Linked DNA regions of Oryctolagus cuniculus. Each later gene encodes a partner of the first gene's protein in a complex. Links are inferred from orthologs where the notes say so. Each region holds a gene or a part of one and is shown in the gene's direction. Other genes may lie near its edges. The genes, in order: EFCAB2, GAS8, FBXL13, DRC1, IQCD, DRC12 and IQCG.

Region 1 (3,988 bases):
TTGTAGATGTGGATCTTCTCAACAAGTCCCCGTGAAGACTAATTCTTAATTGTTGATCTATGTATTATTTGAGATAAAAAAACTGAGGAGTTGTTCCAGGCACCAGGGACATATGGCTGAGTGAAGCAGTTCCCTCCTCTGGAGGGAGGAAAGCCATAGCAAATCAGCGTGAGAAGCTCCCTGAGGAAGGGGTTGAGAGGGCAAACTTGAAGGAGTAGGTGACCTTGAAGGTCATCAGCAGGACAAGCAGCAGGGGACAGCAGTTTGTGGGAGAGTGCCTGCTGGTGCACGGAGAGCTGGGGACAGGCATTCCAGAAAGAAAAAAGCCTGCCAACAGCTAAGCAAAGCCAGAGCAGTGACAAGTGAGCCCGAGAGCAGATTTGGAGTTTCCTACTTTCTTCAAACCCTTCCTTATTTATATGGAGAGCCTTTAAAAATAAATAATTAGCACACAATGAGTGTAGGATTTAAATATAAATGAATGTTAATGAGTATTTCTGGGTATTAAGAACATACTATATACAATTGGAATCATTTTATGTAAGCATTTATCTTCCAATACAAGCTATTTTGTGATGATTCAATTGTTTATATTCAAATTCACACAGAATGCTGATCACAGCACCAAATGATATCTTCAATAGGAAAATGCATTTTTTAAAGGATTTATTTATATGAAAGTTACTTAGAGGGAGACATGCTGATTCACTCCCTAGATGGCTGCAATGGCTGGGGCTAGGCCAGGCCAAAGCCAGGAGCCAGGTGCTTCAACCCAGCCTCCCTCATTAAATGGCAGGAGCCCAAACACCTGGGCCAACTGCTGCTTTCCCAGGTTGATTTGCAGGGAGCTGGATTGGAATTGGAGCAGCTGGGACTTGAACCAGAGCCCCTATGAGACAGGTGGTGGCTTTATGCGCTGTGTCACAACACCATCCCCCCAAATGTGTATTTTTATAATGAAGAATACAGTCAGTTTGCTTTAGGGCTTACTCAGATTACAGAACCAGAATAAAAGGAGCACTAAAAACTGTTAATAAAATCATTAAATATGTTGTATTTCGAAGGCCTCTTAAAAAGTTATGGTTACCGGTTTATAAATCAGTTTTATGTTACAAATTGTTTAGCACATACACATACACACTGAAATACATACACATTGAAATAGTTTGAATAAATGACTCGTTTGAAACACATCATCAGGATTTTATTGAAAGCTCTTTTTCAGAAGAAAATATCCTAGTGAACATAGCCTAAAAAGAAAAAAACTGCCATGACACTGTCACAGCTGCCGAGTTTCAGGAAAGCACTTTTGAAAACTCCTATGATAACAACGCAGGTCAAGCCAGATTTCACCAGAAAAAAACACATTTAAACGTATGCAACACCGAGCACAACCCAGCCCCATTTTTGTTGCTAGGAGAACCTTCTATTTTGTATCAGGCATCGCAGCCTTGACGACGCAATGTTTGCGCGTATTTTGCACATGTTTTTCTACAGCGACTCCTCTCCCGCAGTAATAATAGTCGAATGGCTCTGGTTTCCTCTTGCGCCCGGCCCAGTTTTTCCGTTGCAGCCCCAGTTCTCACAGGCGGCGGGGCGCTCGCTGGCTCGCTCGCTCCGGGACAGGGCGGCGCGGACCGGGGGACCAGCGCGGCTGTGAATGGGGAGGGAGGAGGCTGGAGGGCGGCTCGGGTCTGCCCCCCTTACCCCCCCAGGAGCTGAGCTCTTCACCCAGCAGCTCTGGCTGCGTTTCCAAATCGGCAGTTTGGGGAAAAGAAAAAAAAAAAAAAAGCAACGCCACGTCTTGCAAACACGAGGGGAGGGGGCGAGCACTCTGTGCGCGCGCGGCCCCCAAGGGGTGAGAAAGGAGGGGCCCGGAACCTTGTGAAATAAACTCCCCTAGACCCAAAGTCCCCGGGCTCGGGCCCCCGGGCTGGAGGGCGACACCGGGTCCAACGGCCGACCCGCCGGCGGCGCGCGCGCCCGAGGGTCGTGGCGGGAAGCGCGCCAGCTCCCAGTGTTCCCTCTACCGCCGCCCGGGGTCTTCCTTCCCCACGATTCCGAGCCACCCCGCCTCCAGGGTGCGCGGGGGTGCGCGGGGGAGGGGACCCGCAGGGGGCAAGGACGCCGGGACCGACGTTAACCGTTAACGGTGGGCTTCTCCCCGGCGACCGGCGCGGCTACAAGATGGCGGATGATAGAGAAGGTACAGGTAGGCGCGCCGAGGGGAGGGCTGCCCTCGTCGCCCGCTGCGACCCGGGGCTGTCCCGGCCGGGGAGGGGCGGGCCACCCTCCATCTTGTCCCTGCCGCGGGAAAAGGGTGGCCTCCGGAGGGTGCCCTCCCGCCCCCGGCCCCGCAGCCCGCCCGGGCCGCCGCCGGGCCCCGCCCCTCCCCTCCCCTCCCCCGCCCCCGCCAGCGGCGTCCTCCTCCCCCGCCCGCGGAGGCCCGGCCTGCTGCAGCGCGGGCTGCGGAGGAGGCGCCGGCCCGCGGACGCTGATAATGGCGTCGTTGTTCACGGTCGCCGCCGCCGCCTCCACACCCTGGTCGGGGTCTCGCTGCCGCAGGCGCCACACCAGCAGCTGTCCCGGCTGTGGGCACCGGGGGGCCGGCCTGGCCGGGGACGGGTTCTGGCCGCCCAAATCTGGCGGAGTCCGCTCAGCCCGCGCTGAAGCCCCGCCCCGGCCCCGGCTGGATGGCGTTTGCGGCCACCATCTTGCCGCCTCGGTGAGGACGCGAGAGGACGGCCTCGGGGTCACAGCCGCTCCTGCCGCGCCTCTCTGGTGGTGGGACTCGGGGCTGCACCTCGTCCGGCATCTTAAAAACACAGAAACAGTAACGGCCCACGCAGCTGTTCATAAAGAGGGAAAAAGCGAGAGCGGGCGGGGCCGCGCTTGCGCCGCGGTGCGCGGGGCGGTCTGGCCGGGTTGCGGCGGGCCGAGAGGATTGATGTGTTGCCCGTGCGGAGCCGCGGATCCCTAACATCCACGTTTAGTTTTCAAGGGCCCGGACGTTGTCTTTAATTCAGGGCTGTGATTTAAAATCGGGTCCTCGGTTAACCGTCCTCTTAGTCACGCCAAAATAATTGTTTGATAATTGGCAAAAACACCGAAAGAATTACGAGACCGTAGAATCGAACATCTTAGAAGTGAAAAATCACACTCTACTTTGGTTTCCTTTTTGGAGCCTTCAGAAAAGCTCTATTTTTTTTTTTTTTTAAATCAAAGAACAAAGGTAGTTTGGGCTCACAGCTAGGGTTTACGTGAGCTCCCCAGTCATGGTGAGCCCAGAAGATCTGCGCAGACAAACGTGAAACCGTGCCAAAGGCCTACTTACTTGATGACAGGCATACTGATTTTTATAGTAATCCGGGAAGGCAGGCTTATTTTATTCATTTTGCTTTTAGCAAGACTTAACCCAGAAAACGGGATGTTATTTTGATCTATTGTTATTATGTACCAAAAAGGAGAAAAATCATCACAGATTTTTTTTTTTAAATCTGATCAACCTAAAAATTTTTTTTTAAAGAGGTTGGGAGCTTCCCATTTTTTTCAGTTTTCAACGAATACTTTTTTCTGTTGAAAATTAATTTGGATGAAGATGTAGTTATGTGTATAACCATAGAAGAAGTAATAAGTGGTGAAAGCTGGCTGTCTTTTATTCAGTTGTCATTTGTTTAATGCTTGTCCTATGGAAGGCAGATTCAACACAGATGACAAGGACATCGAGGTCAGTGAGGGAGATAACACACACAAATGGGAGGGGACAGGTAACCAGGCTGAACAACTTTTGTGCCCAACATTATGGCAGGTGTAATGGACTCAGGCAATCTGGGCGTCACTGGGAGCTTACCAGAAATGAGCGGTCTCAGGCACTGCCCTAGACCTACCAAATCAGAGACCTTGTTCTAATGTATCCCTGGGTGCTCCATATGTGCATTAAAGTTGGGGAAGCATTGTTGTGTGCTGTATCTCATTTATTCTTAAAACA
Region 2 (4,133 bases), on another chromosome or scaffold:
CGCTGGAACTCTCTTTCGGCGTCTTTCAGAGGCTCGTGGCCAACGGCCCCTCACGGGCGGGCCCCAGGGGCCGACGCTGGGCGCGAATTTAATCCGGTCGTGCTGGGCCCTCGGGTGCTCACTGGTCCTCGCGCCCCGCACTCCGCGCGGGAGGCAGCCGCACGCACCCTGCCGGAAACGCCCCGGCCCCGGCCCGCGCGCGGTCTCGCGAGGATTCCCGCGAGGATTCCCGGGGCGCGCGCTCGCCCGGCGTTGCCGGGAGACGGCGCAGCCGCGGCGGCGGCTCGTTCGCGTGGAGTTCGCGGCTGGGCCGGTCAGCGGCGCCATGGTGAGGACTGGCGGGAGTCGGGGCCCGGGTCCGCGCCGCGGGGTCTGGGCCCGGCGTCGGCGGTGCCGGCCGCGGGCGTCCCAGCGAAGGCGGCCCCGGGTCTGAGGTGCCGGCCTCGCGTTTGCGGGGGATCCCGGCGCGCCTGTGGGACCCGCGCTGTCCCGCGTCCTGCGCTCGCTGGGGTGTTCCTCGCGCCCGCCCCGCCCGCCCGGCTTGCACGGTGTGCAGACTCGAACGCCTGGGTGGCGGGGCGTCGCCTCGCAGGGGCTGCGGCGCGCGAGGACCTCCGGGCGCTGGGGCGCTGGGGCGCTGGGCGCTCAGAGCGTGCGGGGCCCGTGTCCAGGCGCTCCGGGAGCCGCGGCTGGCCCCGCAGCGGGCCGCGAAGTGGCGCCGAATCTTCCTCCAAAGCCCTGCGGGTGGGGGGTACGCGGACGGCCCGGTACCTTAGGAGTTACGGTGCTAGTTGCTAGTCTTGAAAAGCAACGGGGGAACATCAAAATAAGCTTGCGGGAATGTGGGCGGTTTTCTTTCTCTCGAATCTGCATGTGACATTTGCAGTAAGTCTTGCAAGTGCGTGGCATGGAGGGTGGTTGGGAGTAAGAGAGGCAGGATAGGGTTTGAAAGTTCAGTCCGGCCCGAGCCTGGGCGCCCTGGGCTGGGGAAGAAGCCTTGCTCTCAGCCCGGTCGTGATCACTCGCAGTGGGTGCCGTCTGCCCAGGCTGTCTAGATGCGGGTTCTCGGTGGAGTTTCATATTCGGGAAAAGGAACCCCCAGATGGCCAGGACTGATGGTTTTCCCTACGTCTGCCTGCGGTGGTTACCGGGCATTATGGCCGACCCGGTCACATCAGCGAGGGACTAGGGGTCTTCCTTTATGAGCATATACCAAGGGGTGAGTGGGTGTGCAATGGGTGCCTGCCTTTTGGAAGGAGAGCCCGTTCCTCTCTGGCCTCGCCATGTGTGCCGAAGGGTAATCGTGTGGCTGAGGCGCAGGGCAGATGAACACGCTCCGTGAGTGCTCTTCCGGGCACCCCAAGGCCCTGGACAGAGAGGGGCACGTTCTGCAGCGGGGACTCGAGCCCAGCCGGCCCAGGGGGAAGGCCGATTGGCGGTCACCCTACGTGGTCACCCCACGTAACCGTCAACAAAGATGGAAGCAACCTTCTCTTCTGTAAACAAGGCTCCCAAAAGGAAAGGGAAGAAGGGCAAGGCCAAGGGCACCCCGATCGTCGATGGACTCGCGCCGGAGGACATGAGCAAGGAGCAGGTGAGCTTCCCGAGCCCGTCTGCCGCCCCTGTGCCCACGTGTGCCCACAGCTCTCCAGCGCGTTGCGTGTCTGCTCGCGTGCCGCGCAGCCGCCTGCAGCCGTGTTCTAACAGGGTGGTAGGAATGTGGAAAGACATGGTGTCCTGGTAGGAAAGCTGTTTTCCGGGGTTGGTGTTTGGCCTGGTGGTTAGGACACCGTGTCCCTTATCCGAGGACCTGGGGCTGGTGCCCGCCCTGGGTCCTGACTTCAGATTCCTGCAGTGCAGAGGCTGGGAAGCAGCAGCGATGGGTGCGGTGACTGGGCCCCTGTTTCTGACGTCCAGCTTTGGCCTGGCCCTGTCCGGGCTGATGTGGACGTTGGAGACTGAGCCAGTGGATGGGAGCACTCTCTCTCTCAGATAATTAAAAAATGAAAATATTTTTAAATGCTATTTTTGTAACCCTTTCAGGTAGCTGGTGTTTGTAGAACTGTTCCCATAGCACATACATGCAGCGCATTCTCTTTTATTTTATTTCCTATTAAGCACTATAGCAAAAAGAAAGTCTTTAAGCAGAACGTGACTTACTTCAATCACATTGTCTGAGTCTGATTAATCATTCTTTTTTTAAAAGATTTATTTATTTGAAAGAATTGGGGGGTAGGGAGAGAGAGAGAGAGTGTGTGTGAAGAGAGAGAGATCTTCCATCTGCTCATTCTCTCCCCAAATGGCCACAACCAGGGCTGGACCAGGCCAAAGTCAGGAGCTGGAGCTTCCTCCGGATCTCCCACGTGGGTGCAGGGCCCGAGCACTTGGGCCATCCTCCGCTGCTTTCCCAGGCCATTAGCAGGGAGCTGGATCCTACGATGAGCAGCCAGGACTCAAACCCATGACCACGTGGGCAGAAGCTTCCCCCGCACCACAGCGCTGGTCCCTCGTGCTTGTTTTTACAAACGTTCCAACAAGGAGGAACAGTGTCCGGCTGCCTTCGTTGTGGCCTTCTTATTTGGGGCATGGGGTGATGTCTGTAGTTACTTTGAGACATTTTAAGCTGCTTGTCCATTTTGGTGTAAAGGGCTAGAGAACATCATGATGTCATTAAAATCTCACTTCCGATTGGGACACGTGGCAAACGCGGTGTGTCCTGTGGCATCCGTGTTGGCGGGACGCCCCCCCGTGAGTGTCTCTGGGGCCTGAGGGTGCTGTGTGAACTCAGGTGGCAGGGTTAATAAGCCCGAATATGAAGGAGCTGAAGTGCGAAGGGGTGCTCCAGGGATGTGCGGGAAGACCACGCAGTGCCGGCAGAGGTGTGGTGTGGGCGGGTCCGTTAGGCTGGCGGGGGAGCGTGGGTGCACGGGCGTTGCAGCGACCCTTGTGCTGCTGTCTGCTCCCTGTGGAGGTAGAGCTGCCGCGGCAGCAGGCCTGACACAGGCCTGGTTTACGGCACGTTGTGCAGTCCAGGAGTGAGGACAGGGACTGGCATCACCTGGACACGCGTGCCCCTCTGCTGAGGACATGTGCGCAGTCTATTGGATTCTAGTGCTGTTTTCTAATTTTTCAGGAGAAGCTAGAAATCTGGATATTTATAAGAAATCTAAGTGTTGATTGATGACGAGATCTAACTCTGTGTGAGCCACACAGAGCAGCTAGGTACCCTGGTTTAACTGTTTGTTCTGTGACCTGGTGACACGTGCCATTTTGCTGCAGCATTTGTGAGATTCTGGGGTGGCATCCTCCCTCAGAGGCCTTTGCCCTGCCGAAGTCCTCTGTGCTGCGCCCCCTTTTCTCTTCAAGTAAGACGTAGTGGTTTCCCTCGGGGACAAGGTTTTAGGAGAGAACAAACTTTACAGAAAGTGACCTGTGGCTATACCTGAAAGAGAACTAAGTCTTTATTTTTTTTTTTTTAGAGATTTATTCTATTTATTTGCAAGAGTTACAGAGAGAGAGAAAGAGATATATCAATATGAATATCAATCTTCCATCCACTGGTTCACTCCCCCAAATGGTTGCAATGGTCAGAGCTGAGCCGATCTGAAGCCAGGAGCTTCTTCTGGGTCTCCCACATGGGTGCAGGGGCTCAAGTACTTGGGCCTTCCTCCACTGCTTTCCCAGGCCACAGCAGAGAGCTGGATCCGAAGAGGAGCAGCCAGGACTTGAACCATTGCCCTTATGGGATGCTGGTGCTGCAGGTGGAGAATTAACCTGTGCCACGGCGCCAGCCCTATAACTAAGTCTTAAGTGGAATGAGATGCCAGGAAAGCTGAAGCCTGTCCTACTTTTTTTTTTTTTTTTTTTTTTTTGACCTATTTGTAGTTTTGCAATAGGCTGTGGGCCAAACCCTCTTGTGTTAGGAACCTTCTGGTTCTCTGTGCTTTTACTGACATTGTGCCTTGAAAAGTGAATGTTCTTTCACTTAATGTTATTTTGTGAACATGTTTACATGCTTCTTCTAATTTACTTTTATTTATCTGCTTAGTTTTGCTATTATAATACTGCTGAGGCTAAATATCTTTGAGCCAGAAGCTCTTGTGTTTCTTTTGAGAAGTTTCCTCAGTATGAAT
Region 3 (3,500 bases), on another chromosome or scaffold:
ACCACTCATTACTTGATGGCATAAGTGATCATCATTGTTGAGATTACAGTGTCATCCAAGAAACAGATAAGAGAAGTCTTTGGGGAGACAATATTTGATTTTTTTAAGAAGATCCATGCTAGCGTTGTGGTGCAGCAGGTTAAGCCACCGCCAGCAGTGCTGACATCTAATACAGGTACTGGTTTGAGTCCTGGCTGTCCCACTTCCCATCCAGCTCTCTGCTAATGTGTCTGGGAAAGCAGCAGAAGGTGGCCCAGGCACTTGAGCCCTTGCTACCCACAGGGTGACCTGGATGGAGTTCCTGGCTCCTGGCTTCTGCCTGGCCCAGCCCTGGCTGTTGTGACCATTTAGGGAGTGAACTAGCAGAGGGAAGATATCTTTGTGTCTCTCTCTTTGTCTGTAACCCTGTTTTTCAAATAAATAAATAAATCTTTTAAAAATAAAAAATAAATATTTATTTGAAAGGCAGAGATCTTACATCTGCTGATCTATTCCCCAAATGGCTGCAATGACCAGGGCTGGGCCAGGCTGAAGCCAGGAGGCTAGAACTCCATCTGGGCCTCCCAACTGGGTGGCAGGGACCCAAGCACTTGGGCCACCTTCTGCTGCTTCCCCAGATGCATTAGCAGGGAGGTGGATCGGAAGCACAGCAGGCAGGCCTTAAACCGGCATGCATATGGGATTACAGTGTTGCAAGCAGCAGCTTAACCTGATGTGCCACAATGCTTGCTCCCAATATGTCCTTTAATTTTGTTTTAATTGTTGGAGTCTTCTCCCCAGTGTCTCTTTGGAATGAAAAACATAAACTTGTTCCAGGTTTCAAAAATAGTACTAGGGCAAGAATAGTACTATGTAGTACTAGCATAGAAGTCTGTATTGGAAAATGCTAAAGTGTATTTTTGGCTGTGTGCATGCAAAGGCATCTGGCAACAGGTTTTTCTTACTTACATTTTAGTCTTACTCCATGCTCAATTTAAAAAATTTCCTTACTCTATATTTTGTGCTGGTCTGTTCTATTTTTTTGAATTAATAATAGTAGCTAATATTTATTGAGTGCTAGTTGTGTGGCACCTTACTTGCCTTTTTCTCAGTTTATCCATTGCAGAGTTAGGCATTGTTATTTTTCCCACTTTACAGATGACAGAACTAAGGCTGAGCGAAGAAACTGCCCAACTTGTTAAGTGGCCAAGATGGAATTCAAATACTTGTCTGTTCAACTACAGAGTGTGTGCTCTTGATTAGCAAATATTTATAAGGGACTGCCAGACCTGCCATTTGCTTTCCACCTAGCAGGCAGCATAAAATTTCGGCTCCTCGAGTTCTTGTAATATAGTCTTGAGCTCTCAGATCCCAGTCTCATAAAAATGTTGGCATCAAGGAGTCATATTCATGAAGGATTTGAGTCCGGCACATCTTCTAAATGTTGTAAATTTTGTCCTTCCATTGAATCGTCCAATCAGGTTTTCTCCTTCTGAGTTGTATTTTCTTTGCTCTAAAGTCAGCTTCAGTCCAGTGTTCTTGTTTGTTGTTGTTTTAAAGATTTATTTATGTATTTGTAAGTCAGAGTTCCAAAGAGAGAGGAAGAGCCAGAGGGAGAGGGATGTTTCATCCTCTGGTTCACTCTACAGATGACCACAATGGCCAGCACTGGGCCGGTCCGAAGCCAGGAGCCAGGAACTTCTTCCAGTTCTCCCACGTGGTTGGTAGGGGCCCAAGTGCTCGGAACATCTTCTGTCGCTTTTCCCAGGTCATTAGCAGGGAGTTGGACCAGAAGTGGAGCAGCCGGGATGTGAACTGGTGCCCATATGGGAAGCTGATGCTGGCTTCACCTGCTATGCTGCCATGCCCCGCCCAGCGTTCTGTTGTGTGGAAGCCCTCAGTGTATTTCATGTCTTCTGTTGGAGGGCAGGTACGCTGTTCCCTGTCTTCTGCTGTTAGCTCCTGCAGTGGGTATCCTGTCCTCATTCCCAGGACACACATGTATGATCATATCTTCAGGGCCAGCTCCTGGAGGTGGAGTTATTAGGATGAAGGTGGATTTAGAATCATTAATGTGTACAGAATGATGGCGTACCTTCTGCTTCAAAACTTTTCTTAACATCTCTGCTCTTTGATATTTGATATCTCGTTGCTATTTTAATTTGTCTCAATTCACGAGACTGGACATCGATTGACTCATGTTAAGTCAATTGCATTTGTGTTTTTTATCCTACTTCACTGTATTTTTTATCCGTCAACCTAAATCATTTTTAGAATGAAAAGGAATAGTGTGTGCATGTGTGAGTGCATGTATATGTGTGTATGTTATTTTTGAAATTTGCATACTCTAGTAAATAGAGCGCTCAGATTAACATTTCACACTTTTTTTCTATTGGGGAATTAGGTGATGAAGAGCTTTTAGTACTTGACATTTTAAAATATTTAAAATATTTACATGACATAGGTATTTTTCATTTCTTAATGTCTTTGTTTATCCTGTCCAGATTGACTTTTCCATGGTGAAAAATATAATTGCTGATAAAGATATCGTGACTACACTGCACAGGTGGCGTCTAAATGTGCTGCGTTTGAATTTCCGTGGTTGCGTTCTCCGACCGAGAACTTTGAGATCTATTGGTATGTGCCTTCACTATAGCTACTGGTCTTGCTTTCCTGTTTTCTAATTAAATCAGTAAAAAAAGAAAAGAACAAATAAAACAGAAACTTTGGTGGCATTGTTAGGTCATAAGGATGCCAAAAACAAATATTTAAACAAAGGGACAGACATTTGGTGCAGGGTTAAGATGCTGCTTGGGATGCCCACATCCCCTATCAGAGTGATTGGGTTCAAGTCCTGCCTCCATTTCCAATTCCAGCTTCTTGCTAATGTGCACCCTCATAGGCAGCTGGTGATGGCACAAGTACTTGGATCCCTGCCACCCACACGGGAGACCTGGATAGAGTTTCAGGATCCTGGCCTCAGCCTGACCTAGGCCTAGCTATCAAGGACACTTGGAAAGTGAGCTAGTGGGCCGGCACCGTGGCCCCATAGGCTAATCCTCTGCCTGCGGCTCCGGTACCCCGGGTTTTAGTCCCGGTTGGGGCGCCGGATTCTGTCCGGGTTGCTCCTCTTCCAGGCCAGCTCTCTGCTGTGGCCAGGGAGTACAGTGGAGGATGGCCCAAGTGCTTGGGCCCTGCACCCACATGGGAGACCAGGAGAAGCACCTGGCTCCTGGCTTCGGATCAGCGCGGTGCGCCGGCCGCAGCGGCCATTGGAGGGTGAACCAACGGTAAAGGAAGACCTTTCTCTCTGCCTCTCTCTCACTGTCCACTCTGCCTGTCCAAAAAAAAAAAAAAAAAATGTGAGCTAGTGGATGGAACATTCTCTCTGTCTCTGTTTCTACCTGTCTCTGTGCCTTTTAAATAAGGTAAAACAAATGAACAGGAGTTGTACATTCAACAGTTGGTCTTTGCCCATTCTTCTTCTTTTTTTAAAAAAAGATTTATTTATTTATTTGAAA
Region 4 (3,500 bases), on another chromosome or scaffold:
TTCAAAGGGACAGACACGTGGCCCTTTGAATCGGGAACAGGATTCTGGAACCACACTGTGGATTCTGGTGCTCCTTGTTGTTTCTAGGCCAAGGGACAGAGCCCAGGGTGTGGAATCATGTTTTGATGATGAAATAAATCCGGAGTTCACCCTAACCATCAGCAGGGTGCCAGGATGGTCATTAACCTTATCAAGTGTATCTGCTTTCTTGCAACTTGCAACTCTTGGTGCTCAGTGACTCCAAAATAATTACTCTCCCAAGAAAATATCAAGCCTACCAGCAACAGGTGAGAAGTAGCAACAGTTGAGATCCTTTGTAGTCCTTTTGTTCTTGAGCCGTGTCCCACTCTCCTTGTACTGAGAGCAGTGCATCCCGCAGCCACCTGGAATGGCCTGTGTGGTTACGTCAGCAGCTGGATGCGCAGCGGTTCTTCTGTTATTGTTGTTGTTGCTGCTGTTCCATTTTACTTTTATTTTTATTTATTTTTTAAGATTTATTTATTTATTTGAAAGTCAGAGTTACACAGAGAGAGAGGAGAGGCAGAGAGAGAGAGAGAGAGAGGGAGAAAGATGTCTTTAATCTGCTGGTTCATTCTCCAATTGGCTGCAACTGCCGAAGCTGTGCCGATCCGAAGCCAGGAGCCAGGAGCTTCTTCCAGGTCTCCCACGTGGGTGCAGGGGCCCAAGCACTTGGGCCATCTTCCACTGCTTTCCCAGGCCTTAGCAGAGAGCTGGATTGGAAGTGGAGCAACCGGGTGTCCATATGGGATGCTGGCACTGCAGATGGCAGCTTTACCTGTTATGCCACAGCACCAGTCCCAAATTTTACTTTTGATTATTAGGATTGCTCTTTATAGTTTAATTTGTTTTGCAGTTAAGTAAAATATTTACATGCTTCCAAAGTCAAATGAACAAAGAGATCACGATTTACTCTCTGCACCCTATTCCATCCCTCTCTAACAACGGCTGTTACAACCCAGGGCTTCTGCTTCCAGTGCTTGTTTAAAAACTACACACACACACTCTCACACACGCACACACACGCACATGCACACACACATGCACATGCGCACACCCATGTACCCGCGCGTGTGCACAAAGCAGCAGGTTTTTTAAGTGGTCCCTGTGCCCACTCTCCTTTCTGCGTGGTGGCTCTTGCTGTTGGCCCTCGCTTCATGTCAGTAACGTTCCTCAGAGGAAGCCCCTTTGCCTCTCTCAGCTGGCTGATTTTAAGCTGCTGCAGGTTTAGAAGGCAGTGGAGGATGGCCCAAGTCCCTGCACCCATGTGGGAGGCCTGGAAGAAGCTCCGGGCTCCTGGCTTCAGATCAGTGCAGCTCCAGCCGTTGTGGCCATTTGGGGAGTGAACCAATGGATGGAAGACCTCACGCTCTCTCTCTGTAACTCTGCCTTTCAAGTAAATAAGTAAATCTTAAAAGAAAAGAAAGAAATAATACAGCACACCTACCAGGCTCACCATCCCTCCCCCTGCACCTCCTGGTTCATGGATAGAATTTTTCTATTATTATTTGCAAGGTATTGGGAGAAGGAGAAGGAAAGATAGAGAGAAGGAGAGAGGGAGAGAGAGAGAGAAAGAGAGAGAGGGAAAGAGGGAGAGAGAGAGAGATCATCCTCTGGTTCACTGTGAAATGCCTGCAAAAGCCAGGGCTGTGCTGGGCCAAAGCCAGAGCCAGGACCTCCATCGGATGTCCCGCGTGCTCCCTCCTGGCTGGCAGGAACTCGGCCTCTTGGGCCGTGGCCTGGTGCTGTCTCCCAGGGTGCACATTAGCAGGAGGTTGCAGCGAGAAGTGAGAGCCAGGAATGGAACCCAGGCACCGTGGTGTGGGCACGCTCGCGTTTGCCGGCGTCTGCGCAGTGAGGCTGCATGCCTGCTGGACTCCATGGCTGGCCTGTGGGGATGGGGCGCCCGGCAGGTGCAGGTGGAGGAGTGAGGTGTTAGACAGCCCCAGTTCTGAGCCCAGGCCCCCTCCCTCACGCGGTGGGCTTTCTCCTACTTCCTGAACTTGCGGCTCTTCCTGCAGTGGGCAGCCACTGATGGGGTCTCCACGAGGCCTTTCAGGAGGGAACTTGGCTCAAGAAAAGCCCTGTTTCTGCAAGTCCACAGGCCGAGAGATGACCTCTTCTCTGTCCCCTCTCTGTGGCCTCTGCAGAAGAGGAAGGGGCAGAAGAGGCCGTCTCGGAGGCCGAGTCCTACCTGGACCTGCCCAAGCAGATTTCAGCAAAAACCACCAGGAAGATCCTGATGCTCCTGTGTGACGAGTCGGTGAGGCCGGGCTGGGCGGCGTCGGGGCTGGGCGGGGCCCGGAGTCGGGAGTAGGCGCCCCACCCCGGCCATGGCCGGGCACCAGGCCTAGAGCTTGCACCCCGCGCCCAGCTGGCCCAGCTATCAGGTGGTGCTGCCCCTGGGGCTCCTCAGGTTGTGGGCCAGGCCAGCCGGCAAGGGAGGCTGGGCGTGCCCACGCCCCCGTGCCCACGCCCCCGTGCCTGCTGCCAACTGCTCATTGTGAGATAGAGGGGGTGCCGGCCGGCAAGCCCCATCCCCCGCCAAGTGGTGAGGCCCCCTGCCTTGTGGCCCTTCTTTGGGGGCGCAGCTTCAGGCTGCTGGACGTCTGTTAGGCTTGGGCATCTGCACCGGGTGTCAGCGACGACACTTAGGGCTGGTTCAGCCGCGCTGAGTGCTTACTTAGAGTGTGTGGTTCTGAGGTGCAGGGAAGTGGGGGAGCAAGGATGGGCGGCCTCTGTCCCCTGGGGACAGCTGGGGTAGTTTTCTGTGGCACCGGGGCTGAGGGAGTCAGCTGGCAGGGCCTCCCCTCTCTGCAGGCTGCGGGGAGCCCGCCCCAGGCGCTCAGGGCCCCCATGCCCGCCTCGCTCCATGCCTGCCCCTCGCCCAGCTCGGCATTCTGCAGCACTTGGGGGGTCAGTGCTGTGACCGGGTCGGGTCTGGACCGCTGTGGGGGGGGCCTGGGTGTGCGCCCAGTGGCTGGTGGCTGAGGGGAATGGGTGCAGGGCACTCATGTCTGAGGCAGGGCAGGCCCTGGCCGTGCCCCTGCAGAGGCTCGGGCATGCGCACAAGGCCTTGCTCGCCTCCTGGGTTTTGCTCCTGTGCGCAGCCGCAGGCTGAAGCCCCCCTCTGACTGGAGCCACCTTCTTGCGCCTCCTCAGGGTTTCCTCATAGAGAGCAAGCTGATGAGCCTCCTCCTGCCCCTGGAGACGAGCGAGTGCTACCTGCTGCGGTTGGACGCCATCTTCTCGGTGAGTGCCGCGGGCCGGGCCGGGGACAGCCCCGTCTGCCCGACCTGGAACTCGTCTCCACCCTGGGAGTAGGCAGGGTCTCCCAGAGTGCCACTGGGCTCCGGGCTGCCCTGCCCTGCCCCTGCACGCAGCCATCAGCCATCGGCTTGTCCCCGGGCTGCACCCTGCCCGCGTCTCTGGTGCGCCCTGGCTTCGCAGTTGTGTGTGCAGCCGCCTGTCATCAACTTCTC
Region 5 (4,213 bases), on another chromosome or scaffold:
CTCCTATTCATTCTGAAAGCAAGAGGCTCTTAACCCCGTCAGGCCAGCGCGCACAGCTCCCTAAATTTCCTCATTATTGTCCTACTGGTATTTTAGGTTTAACTGTGTAACCCACGACAGCCTGCTTGCACGGATGTCCCTCCCGGCTCAGGGGCTCTCAACAGGATTGACTTTGCTCACCAGGGGTGGGGGCTTGTCCGTGGGCAGAGGCCAGGGAGACCACTACACCGCCTGCAACTCACAGGTGAGACCCCTCTCCCAACAATTAAGAACCACCCGGCTCAAAGTGTCCACGGTGCTGCTGTGGGGGACCCTGTCTCTGCACAGCCCCCCCACCCCGCACAGGTGACGGGGGCTTAGCCGGCTTAACTTGCCTCTTACAAGTAAACTCCAGCTCAGTCCCAAGTCCTCTCCTCCCTGTAACCTACTCGCCGCACCGTCCCCCAACTTAAACTCGAACCCATCATTTTACAGAGAGGGAAATGGGGCCCAGAGAGGGAAAGGGGTTTGCCCAAGGTCACACAGTGCACAGCAGCGCTGGGACCCGAGTCCTGAGACCCAGCCTGGGCTCCCCCAGTGGGCTCTGGTCCACGGACAGCCCAGAAGGTCACCCCTAGAGACAGGTCCTGGGGCCTCGAGGCCAGCTGCCGTCCCGCTGTTCGCTGGGACAACCCGACCGGGCACCGGTCTCCGCAGGGTCACCCCAGGGCGCCAGGCAAAGGAGCGGGCCAGGGAGAAAGCAGGAGGAGGGAGTGCGGCTCCAGTTGCACGTGCTCCCTGCCCGGGTCGGGGCGCCCACGCTGGGGTCGTCCCAGGAAGCCAGGGGCGAGGAAAAGGGGTGCAAAGCTTCAGCGCGGACTGGAGAGAGAACAGCACGGCCGGGACTTCCCCGTGCTCCTTCGGGGCTCGCCCTGCCCGCCTCCCACACGCGGGTGCCCAGACGCAACCCCTAACTCCGCGCCCTCTGACCCTCGACCCCTGCCCTCTCCCTCGGCCAAGCCCTTGCATCCCTGGGATTCTTACACGCGCCGCCCCAGCAACCCGGACCGCGCACCGGGGTCCGCACCGTGCAGCCCAGCCCGCCGGCGCCGCCACCAAAGCGCCGAGCCCGGAGCTGTTGCAGGGGCCGCAGCTGCCGCCACTTCAGCCGCTGCCACCACGGCAGCTGCGCCAGCTCTCCCTTCCACCGCCTACCGTCCCTTCAACCCCGCCGGCCCCGCCCCATTCCTCCTCCGCTGCGGCCTACTGGCTACCTGGGCTGCCATGCTGAGTTCTGATTGGCCAGGCGTCACGTCCTTCCTCAGTTCTCGTTTGCTGCCCAAGCAAGACTGCCTGCCCGCCTCCTTAAAAAGGGGCGGGACTAAGAAGCTCCGCCCTTTCCCACCCGCCCCGCTTTATTCACTCAGCCCAACCCAGAGAAAGTCCCAGGTCTTTCAATTGGCGGAACAGCAGCGAGGCGTTGCTTCTGATTGGTCAGACCTCAAGAGGTGGGGCTCACGGACCAAAACAAGAAATTGAATGGTAAAAAGCAAAGTCAGTCAGACTCCGAGGCCCGCCCCCTGAGACTGACAGGTAACCTAGCAACGCGGGCACCGCCGCTGTAACTGCAGAGAAAGGTGGAACCCCTCGGAACCGGTGAGTAACCGGGGTCCGCCCTGAGGTCTGGGACGCCGAGGAAAGTGGGTTAGGGGCTAGTCCGCGCCCCTCAGCTCCCTGAGGAATAAGTAGCCCCGTCGCCTCGCCGTCCCGGCTCCGGGCCTCGGGCTGGACCTCGCTTTCCACCGCCGCGGGGGCCACAGGGCAGCCCCCTGTGGGCTCTGCCCGCTTCGCGGCCCCACTCCCACCCGAAACGGGGGACCCCGTCGGCTCCCCGTCTTAGCTGGCTTCCCCCGGTCAGACCCGGCGCTGGGGGTGAGCGCGGCTCCGCCCAGCAGCCCGGGGCCTTTGGGGTCGTCTGGGTCCGCACTCGCTCCGGAGTCTGACTCGCATCTCCGTCCTAGAGCGGGGGCTGGCTGTGCACTCGGGCAAGTGTGGAGCCGCAGAGGTTAGCTGTGTGTCAAGCGGAGTAAGCGCTCAGTGACGGGGCTGGCGCCGGGCTGGGCAGCACAGCAGGTGCTCAGCGAGTATTATTATTATTTTTTTCTAAAATACATCCAGCCTTGACTTTTCCCTCTTAACATGGCTCCCAGGGTGTTCTGTTTCCCACCTTAAGTATTTATGAATTCAACAAGTGTTAACCAAGTGCCTGCCGTGGTACTGCGGTCAGAGGGATAAGCAGAATGACCGGCACTCCTGCCCGCTGGGAGCGTGTGGCCTAGGATGGGAGACAGTCACGGGAGAAATAATCCACTGGCAAGTGTGAAATTACACCCCAGGGGACTTCCAGAAGGTGGGGTGGAGGCAGGAGAGGGGGGTGGTGCGGCACGGGCAGAGTTACAGTCTGGGCGGTGAAGACGGTTCTGGGGATGGAAGCGTGTGAGTGGGGGTGTAACGGCCTTCAAGGTTACTAAAATAAAGGGCAGGGTTTGGAGCAGTGGGGGAGAAGCCCCCGGAGTCGCCTGCGTCCCTTGTCAGGACGCCTGCTCCCTGCTAGTGCACATCTCAGGAGGCAGCAGGTGACGGTGCCGGTGTTTGGTTCCTGACACCCACCTGGGAGACCTGGGTGCAGTTCTGGGCTCCTGGCTTCAGCCTGACCCAGCTGTGTTCAGTGTGGGCATGGGGAGCGAACTAGGAGATGGAAGGAATCTCTCTCTCCCTCTCTCTCTCTCTCTCTCTCTTTTCAAATACAATGGAAAAAAAGATAACATTTATGTTTATTTTATCACAATTTTATCAAGATTTGTTTTTATTTATTTGAAGGGCAGAGTAACAGAGAGAGGGGAAGAGACAGAGGAAAAAGGTCTTCCGTCGGCTGGTTCACTTTCCAAATGGCCTCATCAGCTGGAGCAGGGCCAGGCTGAAGCCAGGAGCCTGGAACCCCATCTGGGTCTCCCAGGTGGGCGGCAGAGGCCCAAGCACTCGAGGCGTCTTCCGCTGCTCTCCCAATCACATTAGCAGGAAATGGAAAGACAAATTGTGGATGTCCCATGCGATGCTCTTAAGCGATCAAATACGGAAAACGGGCTACAGTGCGGGTGAACCTCAAAAACTGTGTGCTCTTCAGGATTTCTCAATCTCAGCCCTACTGACATTTGGGACAGATAATTGTCTCTTTTGAGGCACTGTCTTGCAAACTGTAGGATGCTTAGCAGTGTCTCTGGCCCCTACCCCCTGGATACCAGCAGTACCCTCTCCAAGGTGTGGAAAGCAAACGTACTCTGGATTATTTCCAGATACCCCCTGGAACATAAAATCACTCCTGGTTCAAAACCATTGTGCTAAGCAAAAAGCCACAAAAGATTCCATACCATATGACTTCACTTATATAGAATAGCCAGATAAATGAAGTGTGGGTGGCACCAGACATTGCAAATTAGTTCATGGGAATTGGGGGAGTGAGGGGAATGTTCTAAAGCTGATTCGTAGGGATGTGGCATAACTGTAAGTCTGCACTGTCCCCTTGCAGTGGGTAGATTAGACCTCAACAGGTGTGTGCCATAAATATGATGCAAGGAACGGGCAGAGGGTTTGCAGGGCTTGGCGTGTGCTCTCTGTCCTCGGCTGCGGAGGAGCTGCCATTGAGCCGAGACCTAAGGAGTGAGAAGTTCCCAGTCTGGGCCTGGGGATCGGTCTCTGGTCAAAGGAACATCAAATGTGGAGGTCCTGGAGCCAGGGCGGTCAGTCGAAGCCAGAGTGGCCACAGCTCAGGGGCTGTGAGCGGCAGACTTTGAGACAGGCGGCTTCTCCTCGCTCAGCCCCTACTCCTGTTCCCCCCTCCACACCATCTCACTGGCACCCACACCACCAAAGTAGGCCTCCGCCTGAACTCTGTCCTCTCCCTCATCCCACGGACTTTACCTACCCTGTGCATCTCTGTCTGGCCACTGCCTTGTCCCCGATGAGGCCACCCGCATCTCCATGGACGACCGTGACAAGCTACACCGTGACAAGCACCTGCCATGCTCCCCTCCCCCGCCACACACACTCTCTCTCAAGCTACAAAGCTGCCCATGTCATTGCTTCAAACCCCTCTGGGACCTGTCACTTCCCTCTCCGAGCAGTGAGGGGAACTATGATGGCTAAATGTCCTAAGTCGGTCTAATTAGGGGGCCTG
Region 6 (4,004 bases), on another chromosome or scaffold:
ACCTTGTGCAGATACTGTGGCGTAGAAGGTTAAGCCACTGCCTGCATGGCGGGCATCCCATATCAGAGTGCTGGTTTGAGTCCCAGCTGCTCCACTTCTAATCCAGATTCCTGCTACTGCGCCTGGGAAGCAGCAGCTGATGGCCCAAGCATTTGGGCCCCTGTCACCCATGTGGGAGACCTGGATGGAGTCTTGGGCTCCTGGCTTCGGCCTGGCTCAGACATGGCTGTGGTTGGCATTTAGGGAGAAAACCAGATGGACGATCTCTGTCTCTCTCTGTATCTGTCGTTCTGCCTTTCAAATAAATGAAATAAATCTATATAAAAAAAAAATTTAGCAGACTTGGGAATACAAGCGAGTCCACTAGAGGGAGCCCCAACCAACTCTATGGTACAGGGAGCCCCTCAAGGTAGTTTCTGAAAATCAACCACCTAAAGGCAATAGATTCAGTGGGTGCAATAAGACAGTCATGTAAATACCCAGTCAAGACCCAGGACCTTCAGAATTTACCAACTCCGTGATGTAAAAGGCAGGAAGCAGGCTAAACCAAGTTAAATAGCTTCCACCTCCAGAGAGGGGGCCTGTGCTGCAGTTTTGGTCCCTAACCAGTGTCCATCCCGCCAAGCCAATACCCCAGAGTCTACGGGTCCTCACTCCTCTGTGTCTCATTTTTCTGGAAGTCTGCCCCAGCACCTGCTCCTGCACCCTGCAGAATGCCTTGCCGAAGGGACGCTTCCGGTTTCAGCACAAGGTCATCTTGCAATAGGATCTCAGGATGTGGATCGTCCAAGACGGCTGCCATCACGCTTTTCCTCCACATCCGCACAACAGTGTTGTCTCAGCCGTGCAAATCTGTCATTTCTGAGTCTCCAAATGACAGCACCTACGTGGAAGTGAATCACAGCTAGTTTGCTCCAAAGCCCTTTCTTTTCAAACTATGCTTAGGATTTGTGGATGAAAGGAGAACTACCTTTCCCAGACCTTGGTCTTTTAGGCATTGTGAGTTGATCTGGCCTATTGCACCTTCTCATGAACTCCATGTTGCTCAGTTGCCTGGGCAACATGCAACCTCCAGAAACCCAACCTTCCAGTTCTCAGTCCAGCCCCCTGAGGAAAATGTGCTGCCTTGGATTGGCTCCCAGGACGCAGGCTCCTCCTCAGGCTCCTAGCTTATTGGGCCTTCTCTCTGTCTCTCCCCACGAGTGGCTCACTCTACAGGGAGACCCAACACAGGCAAGAGAGGGTCTGACAAGTGGTGGAGGTGAGGTAAGGATGAAGGCAAGAGGGAGGGGACAGCTATGGGAATGTATCTTCGCCAAGAGAGCTGAGAGTAACAGCTTTCTGTATGCAGTGTCTTCCCCACTGACCCCAGCCCCGCCTGAGGCTCCAAGGAGACCGGCAACTGAAGCTTCTGGAAAGTAAAGGTTTGTGGGAAATGTAATTAAAAGACAAGCTTATTTTGGTGCAAAAAATTCTTCCAAGTATATTTGAGGGATGTTCAAAAAGCTCATAGAACATGTGTATTGTGAAAAAAAACTGTGGGCCGGTGCCGCGGCTCACTAGGCTAATCCTCCGCCTGCGGCGCCGGCACACCGGGTTCTAGTCCTGGTCGGGGCGCCGGATTCTGTCCCGGTTGCCCCTCTTCCAGGCCAGCTCTCTGCTGTGGCCAGGGAGTGCAGTGGAGGATGGCCCAAGTGCTTGGGCCCTGCACCCCATGGGAGACCAGGATAAGTACCTGGCTCCTGGCTTCGGATCAGCGCGCAGGCTGCAACAACCATTGGGGGGTGAACCAACGGCAAAGGAAGACCTTTCTCTCTGTCTCTCTCTCTCACTGCCCACTCTGCCTGTCAAAAAAAGAAAAAAAAAAAAAGAAAAGAAAAAAGAAAAAAAAAGAAAGAAACTGTGAATGGATTTAACTGTATTTTCTATTAACTTTTTTGTTCTTTTGTTGTTGTTGTTGTTCTCATTTCTCCCTTAATTGTAACTATGTTGAGAGTCAGAGAGAGACCGACAGAAAGACAGACAGAGGCCCCATCTGCTGGTTCACTCCCCCAATTCCCCTAATGGCTGGGACTGGACCTGGCCAAAGCTGGGAGCTGGGAACTCAGTCCAGTTCTCCCAAGGGGGTGGCAAGAATCCACCTGCTTGAATCACCCTGCTACCTCCCCGAGTCTCTGCAGCAGGAAGCAGAAGTCAGGCGCTGCAGCCAGGAGTGCAGCAGGCACTCTGATATGGACTGTGGACGTCTTGACCACTAGACCGAATGCCCAGTCTGTATCCCACGAACTTTCTAAAGTACCATTCGAGTGCCAGTTCAAGTCCTGGCTGCTCCACTTCTGATCCAGTTCCCTGTTAATGTGCCTGGAAGGCGGCAGAGAATGGGCAAGTCCTGGGGCCCCGGCACCCACGTGGGAGATCAGGGGTCCAGACTCCTTACTTCTGCCTGGCCCAACCCTGGCCACTGGGGCCATTTAGGGACTAAATCAGCAGATGGAAGATCTCTCCTTCCACCCCCTGCCCCAACTCTGGCTTTCAACTAAATAAATATTTTTTTGAAATAAATAAATCTTTAAAAAAGAAAGACTTGTGTCTTTAAAACAAGAGAAAGGGGCAGACTTGGAAAGCAGACTTCTGACCCTCCCAAGACTCCTGGTTCAGGATCCCCTTGTCCAGATTTGAAAGCAAGGTCCCCTCCCTCCATCAGGACAGCAAGGAAATGCCACCCAAGACCAAACAGAAAGGCAGGAAAGCCGGCGTGCAGAAGAAGAAAAAGAACCCAGGGCCGGGTGAGTCGTCGTGGGTGGGGGTGGGTGCCCGTTTCTCTGGGTTCTGAAACAGAGACCAAGCAGAGGCCCGCAGCACAGTCCTCGCTGTCCAGATTCCACGGAGCTGAGGAATGGGGGAATGGTCACCCACGCCCTCCCTCGAGACCGCCCAGCTCTGTGCCTCCCCACTGGTCACCCATATGTTGAATGCCTCATCTGTGCTGGGCAGGGAGCACACGGTGCATGCTGAATGGACTCTGCCCGCAGGGAGCCCTCAGAGCTGGCTCAGGACGGAGTCCAGGGCCGGGGGCGGGGGTCATGTAAGCTAAGGCTCTGTCATTTGCCAGGACAGATGTGGAGGCCGAGTCCAAGCACAGACAGCTGGTGCTGGAGACGGAGCTGCTCCGAGACCGGCTGGGTAAGAAGGGTGAGCTATCTGGGACCACAGAAGCAGAGCAGTGGGGGCGCTGCTGTGTCCTGGCGGGACTGGACGTTTGGAGCCACGGTGGAAGCTACGCCAAACCCTAACCATCCCCTAGTGGAACAGGACAGGGAAGGCTGATGAGGGACGCTATTATTTACAGCCAGAACATGGAGGGAGGTTTTACTCCTTAGCAATGAAAAGCTCATGAGATCCTAGGAAAATAAAATGACCCAACAACCTGGAGAGACAGAAAGGGGCGGGCATTGTGGTGACATGGGTTCAGTCACCACCTGCGACACCAGCATCCCACTGGCTGCTCCACTGCCAGTCCAACTCCTGCTAATGTTTCTGGGAAAGCAGCCGGTAATGGTGCAAGTACTGGGGCCCAGCCCCAGCCATAGCAGCCATTTGGGGAGTGAATCAGTGGATGGACAATCTTTCTCTCTCTGTCTCTGTCTCTCTCTCTCTGCCACAGTGCCTTTCAAATAAATAAAATAAATACTTAAAAAGAAAAAAAAAAACAGAAAGAGAAAGAGAAAGAATAAGAGGTGGGGTGCCCTGCCCCCAGGTGTCTTTTATTTTTAAGATTTATTTATTTATTTGAAAGTCAGAGTTACATAGAGAGAGAAGGAGAGAGAGAGAGAGAGAGAGAGAGAGAGAGAGAGGTCTTCCATCCACTGGTTCACTCCCCCAGTTGGCTACAATGGCTGGAGCTGCACTGATCCGAAGCCAGGAGCCAGGAGCTCCTTCCAGGCCTCCCAGGCAGGTGCAGGGGCCCAAGGCATTGGGCCATCTTCCACTGCTTTCCCAGGACA
Region 7 (2,167 bases), on another chromosome or scaffold:
GGATGCCAGTGCTTCAGAACAGGGCTTTAACCCGCTGCGCCACAGTGCCAGCCCCGGAATGCGATTTCTAACCAAACCAGCTCTTGCCAGAATGATTCCTTTGAATGTACTGCTCCCTAAAGTCTTGTCTGCAAATCAGACTGCTGGGTTCTGATAGAAGCGGGTTAGGGATTAAAGACCCTAGTTAGTTATGTGTGAGCTTGTGTATATTAGTAACTGTGGCAGCTCACAGTTCCTGGGAAATACTTTCAGGCAAAAATGGTGATGCAGAAGTCCTGTGAGCTGGACTGACATGCTGTCCTCAGACTGCCCTTCTCCCCGCAGGAGGGCCATCTGCTGAGCCCTGGTGGGCAAGCAGCTTTCAAGTACACCTGGGACCAGGCACGCAGACCCAACCCGAGCTTTCTTTGAGCCAGGTCTATATAGTTAGCACGTATTTATCAAGCTTCTATGGAGTTTTCCATCCATCAGGATTCTTCTATTTAGAGCAAAAATGTAAAGAAGCTGAAGGCCACTTATATTTCTCTTCACTGGTGGATCTGCTTCCCAGTCACTAGGACTTAATTTGATTTTTTTTTTTTTAAGATTTATTTATTTGAAAGTCAGAGTTACACAGAGAGAGGAGAGGCAGAGAGAGAGGTCTTCCATCTGATGGTTCACTCCCCAATTGGCTGCAATGGCCGGAGCTGTGCTGATCCGAAGCCAGGAGCCAGGAGCTTCTTTTGGGTCTCCCACGCGGGTCCAGGGGCCCACGGACTTCGGCCATCTTCCACTGCTGTCCCAGGCCATAGCAGAGAGCTGGATGGGAAGTGGAGCAGCCGGGTCCTGAACCAGCACCAATATGGGATGCCGGCACTTCAGGCCAGGATGTTAAACCTCTGTGCCACAGCACTGGCCCCACTTAATTTGATTTTAAAGTGGACTACAGTGTATTCAGAACAGTTACATCTAACAGAGGTATTCAAGGGAGCTCCCTAGAGCTTTTTTTTTTTATTTTTTTATTTATTTTTTTGATAGGCAGAGTGGACAGTGAGAGAGAGGTCTTCCTTTTCCGTTGGTTCACCCTCCAATGGCCGCTGGGGCTGGCGCGCTGCAGCCGGCACACTGCACTGATTGAAGCCAGGAGCCAGGTGCTTCTCCTAGTCTCCCATGCGGGTGCAGAGCCCAAGCACTTGGGCCATCCTCCACTGCACTCCCAGGCCACAGCAGAGAGCTGGCCTGGAACAGGGGCAACCGGGACAGAATCCGGCGCCTCGACTGGGACTAGAACCTGGTGTGCTGGCGCTGCAGGTGGAGGATTAGCCTGTTGAGCCACAGCACCGGCCTCCCTAGATCCTTTTTGAGAGTAAGAGGCAAATGGGTCCTTTACTCAGTTACTACAGATAGGAGATGTACCAGGAAGCCCAAGGTCATCTGGGCTCATCTGCACATTTTTGATTGAGTGCTTGCTTTTCCCCCTGCCCAAGCACCAAACACTGTTGGTTATGGGGCACCTGGGTGTCCATTAAAGGAAGCAGCCGTACAAGGAAGTCAGGTATCTAAGTGGGAAGGACTATTTGGCAAAACAGATTCCTTCCTGTATCCTTAGTCCTCAAGAACTTAACTCAAGTCCATGGCTTTAGCTCTGGGTCCTGTGCAGCAGGGAAGCATTGCCATGGTGACTGGGTACCTAGCCACTTCCATGTCCTAGGCAGAGACCATTCTCTGACACAGGTTACCTGGTTCAAAAACCCCCTTAGGTGGAAGGCCCACCAGAGGTGGTACTCACACGTCCTGTCTTTCAGCTTCAGGCCTGGTGGCGCGGCACTGTGATACGGAAGGAAATTGGTGGCTTCAAACTGCCCAAAAAGGAGAAAGATGATAGCAAAGAATCAAAAGGCAAAGGCAAAGACAAGGACAAGAGGAGAGGCAAGAAGTGACTGAGCCATTTCTGTCCTTTCTCCTGGTGTTCCAGAGATGGGAAGGGGTGCTTGGAGGGAGAATGATCTCTTTGCACCACAGGTAACTAATCCAAGGTTAACTTGGACTCGGCAAGGGAAGGCTGGTGGTTTCTTTTTGCCTGTTGCATTAGTTTTCAAACCCTGAATCAGGAGTGTACTGTTGACTTCAGGTGTCCTTATATTCTGAATGCTGCCGGCAAGTATATCCAGTAGCCTTATGAAGGTTC

Evidence for each region.
Region 2: EFCAB2 (region 1) and GAS8 share a complex: the UniProt entries of both Homo sapiens proteins name them as parts of the nexin-dynein regulatory complex. The link is inferred for Oryctolagus cuniculus from reciprocal best matches to the Homo sapiens genes DRC8 and DRC4.
Region 3: EFCAB2 (region 1) and FBXL13 share a complex: the UniProt entries of both Homo sapiens proteins name them as parts of the nexin-dynein regulatory complex. The link is inferred for Oryctolagus cuniculus from reciprocal best matches to the Homo sapiens genes DRC8 and FBXL13.
Region 4: EFCAB2 (region 1) and DRC1 share a complex: the UniProt entries of both Homo sapiens proteins name them as parts of the nexin-dynein regulatory complex. The link is inferred for Oryctolagus cuniculus from reciprocal best matches to the Homo sapiens genes DRC8 and DRC1.
Region 5: EFCAB2 (region 1) and IQCD share a complex: the UniProt entries of both Homo sapiens proteins name them as parts of the nexin-dynein regulatory complex. The link is inferred for Oryctolagus cuniculus from reciprocal best matches to the Homo sapiens genes DRC8 and DRC10.
Region 6: EFCAB2 (region 1) and DRC12 share a complex: the UniProt entries of both Homo sapiens proteins name them as parts of the nexin-dynein regulatory complex. The link is inferred for Oryctolagus cuniculus from reciprocal best matches to the Homo sapiens genes DRC8 and DRC12.
Region 7: EFCAB2 (region 1) and IQCG share a complex: the UniProt entries of both Homo sapiens proteins name them as parts of the nexin-dynein regulatory complex. The link is inferred for Oryctolagus cuniculus from reciprocal best matches to the Homo sapiens genes DRC8 and DRC9.

What each region holds. Positions count from the first base shown.
Region 1 is NC_091444.1:64,976,838-64,980,825, forward strand, and holds the start of EFCAB2 (dynein regulatory complex protein 8), read left to right. Parts: upstream 1-1,188; 5' UTR 1,189-2,187; coding exon 2,188-2,212; exon of another isoform or gene 2,213-2,725; intron 2,726-3,988. UniProt on the Homo sapiens protein: Component of the nexin-dynein regulatory complex (N-DRC), a key regulator of ciliary/flagellar motility which maintains the alignment and integrity of the distal axoneme and regulates microtubule sliding in motile axonemes.
Region 2 is NC_091449.1:69,565,458-69,569,590, forward strand, and holds the start of GAS8 (dynein regulatory complex subunit 4), read left to right. Parts: upstream 1-1,333; 5' UTR 1,334-1,477; coding exon 1,478-1,594; intron 1,595-4,133. UniProt on the Homo sapiens protein: Component of the nexin-dynein regulatory complex (N-DRC), a key regulator of ciliary/flagellar motility which maintains the alignment and integrity of the distal axoneme and regulates microtubule sliding in motile axonemes.
Region 3 is NC_091434.1:141,323,819-141,327,318, forward strand, and holds part of FBXL13 (F-box and leucine-rich repeat protein 13), read left to right. Parts: intron 1-1,747; coding exon 1,748-1,909; intron 1,910-2,483; coding exon 2,484-2,616; intron 2,617-3,500. UniProt on the Homo sapiens protein: Substrate-recognition component of the SCF (SKP1-CUL1-F-box protein)-type E3 ubiquitin ligase complex.
Region 4 is NC_091433.1:176,389,139-176,392,638, reverse strand, and holds part of DRC1 (dynein regulatory complex protein 1), read left to right. Parts: intron 1-2,168; coding exon 2,169-2,281; intron 2,282-3,180; coding exon 3,181-3,270; intron 3,271-3,500. UniProt on the Homo sapiens protein: Component of the nexin-dynein regulatory complex (N-DRC) a key regulator of ciliary/flagellar motility which maintains the alignment and integrity of the distal axoneme and regulates microtubule sliding in motile axonemes.
Region 5 is NC_091452.1:10,280,515-10,284,727, reverse strand, and holds the start of IQCD (dynein regulatory complex protein 10), read left to right. Parts: upstream 1-1,413; 5' UTR 1,414-1,635; intron 1,636-4,213. UniProt on the Homo sapiens protein: Component of the nexin-dynein regulatory complex (N-DRC), a key regulator of ciliary/flagellar motility which maintains the alignment and integrity of the distal axoneme and regulates microtubule sliding in motile axonemes.
Region 6 is NC_091432.1:111,112,813-111,116,816, forward strand, and holds the start of DRC12 (dynein regulatory complex protein 12), read left to right. Parts: upstream 1-1,204; 5' UTR 1,205-1,266; intron 1,267-1,351; 5' UTR 1,352-1,424; intron 1,425-2,704; 5' UTR 2,705-2,716; coding exon 2,717-2,786; intron 2,787-3,117; coding exon 3,118-3,183; intron 3,184-4,004. UniProt on the Homo sapiens protein: Component of the nexin-dynein regulatory complex (N-DRC), a key regulator of ciliary/flagellar motility which maintains the alignment and integrity of the distal axoneme and regulates microtubule sliding in motile axonemes.
Region 7 is NC_091435.1:82,163,111-82,165,277, forward strand, and holds part of IQCG (dynein regulatory complex protein 9), read left to right. Parts: intron 1-1,784; coding exon 1,785-1,919; 3' UTR 1,920-2,167. UniProt on the Homo sapiens protein: Component of the nexin-dynein regulatory complex (N-DRC), a key regulator of ciliary/flagellar motility which maintains the alignment and integrity of the distal axoneme and regulates microtubule sliding in motile axonemes.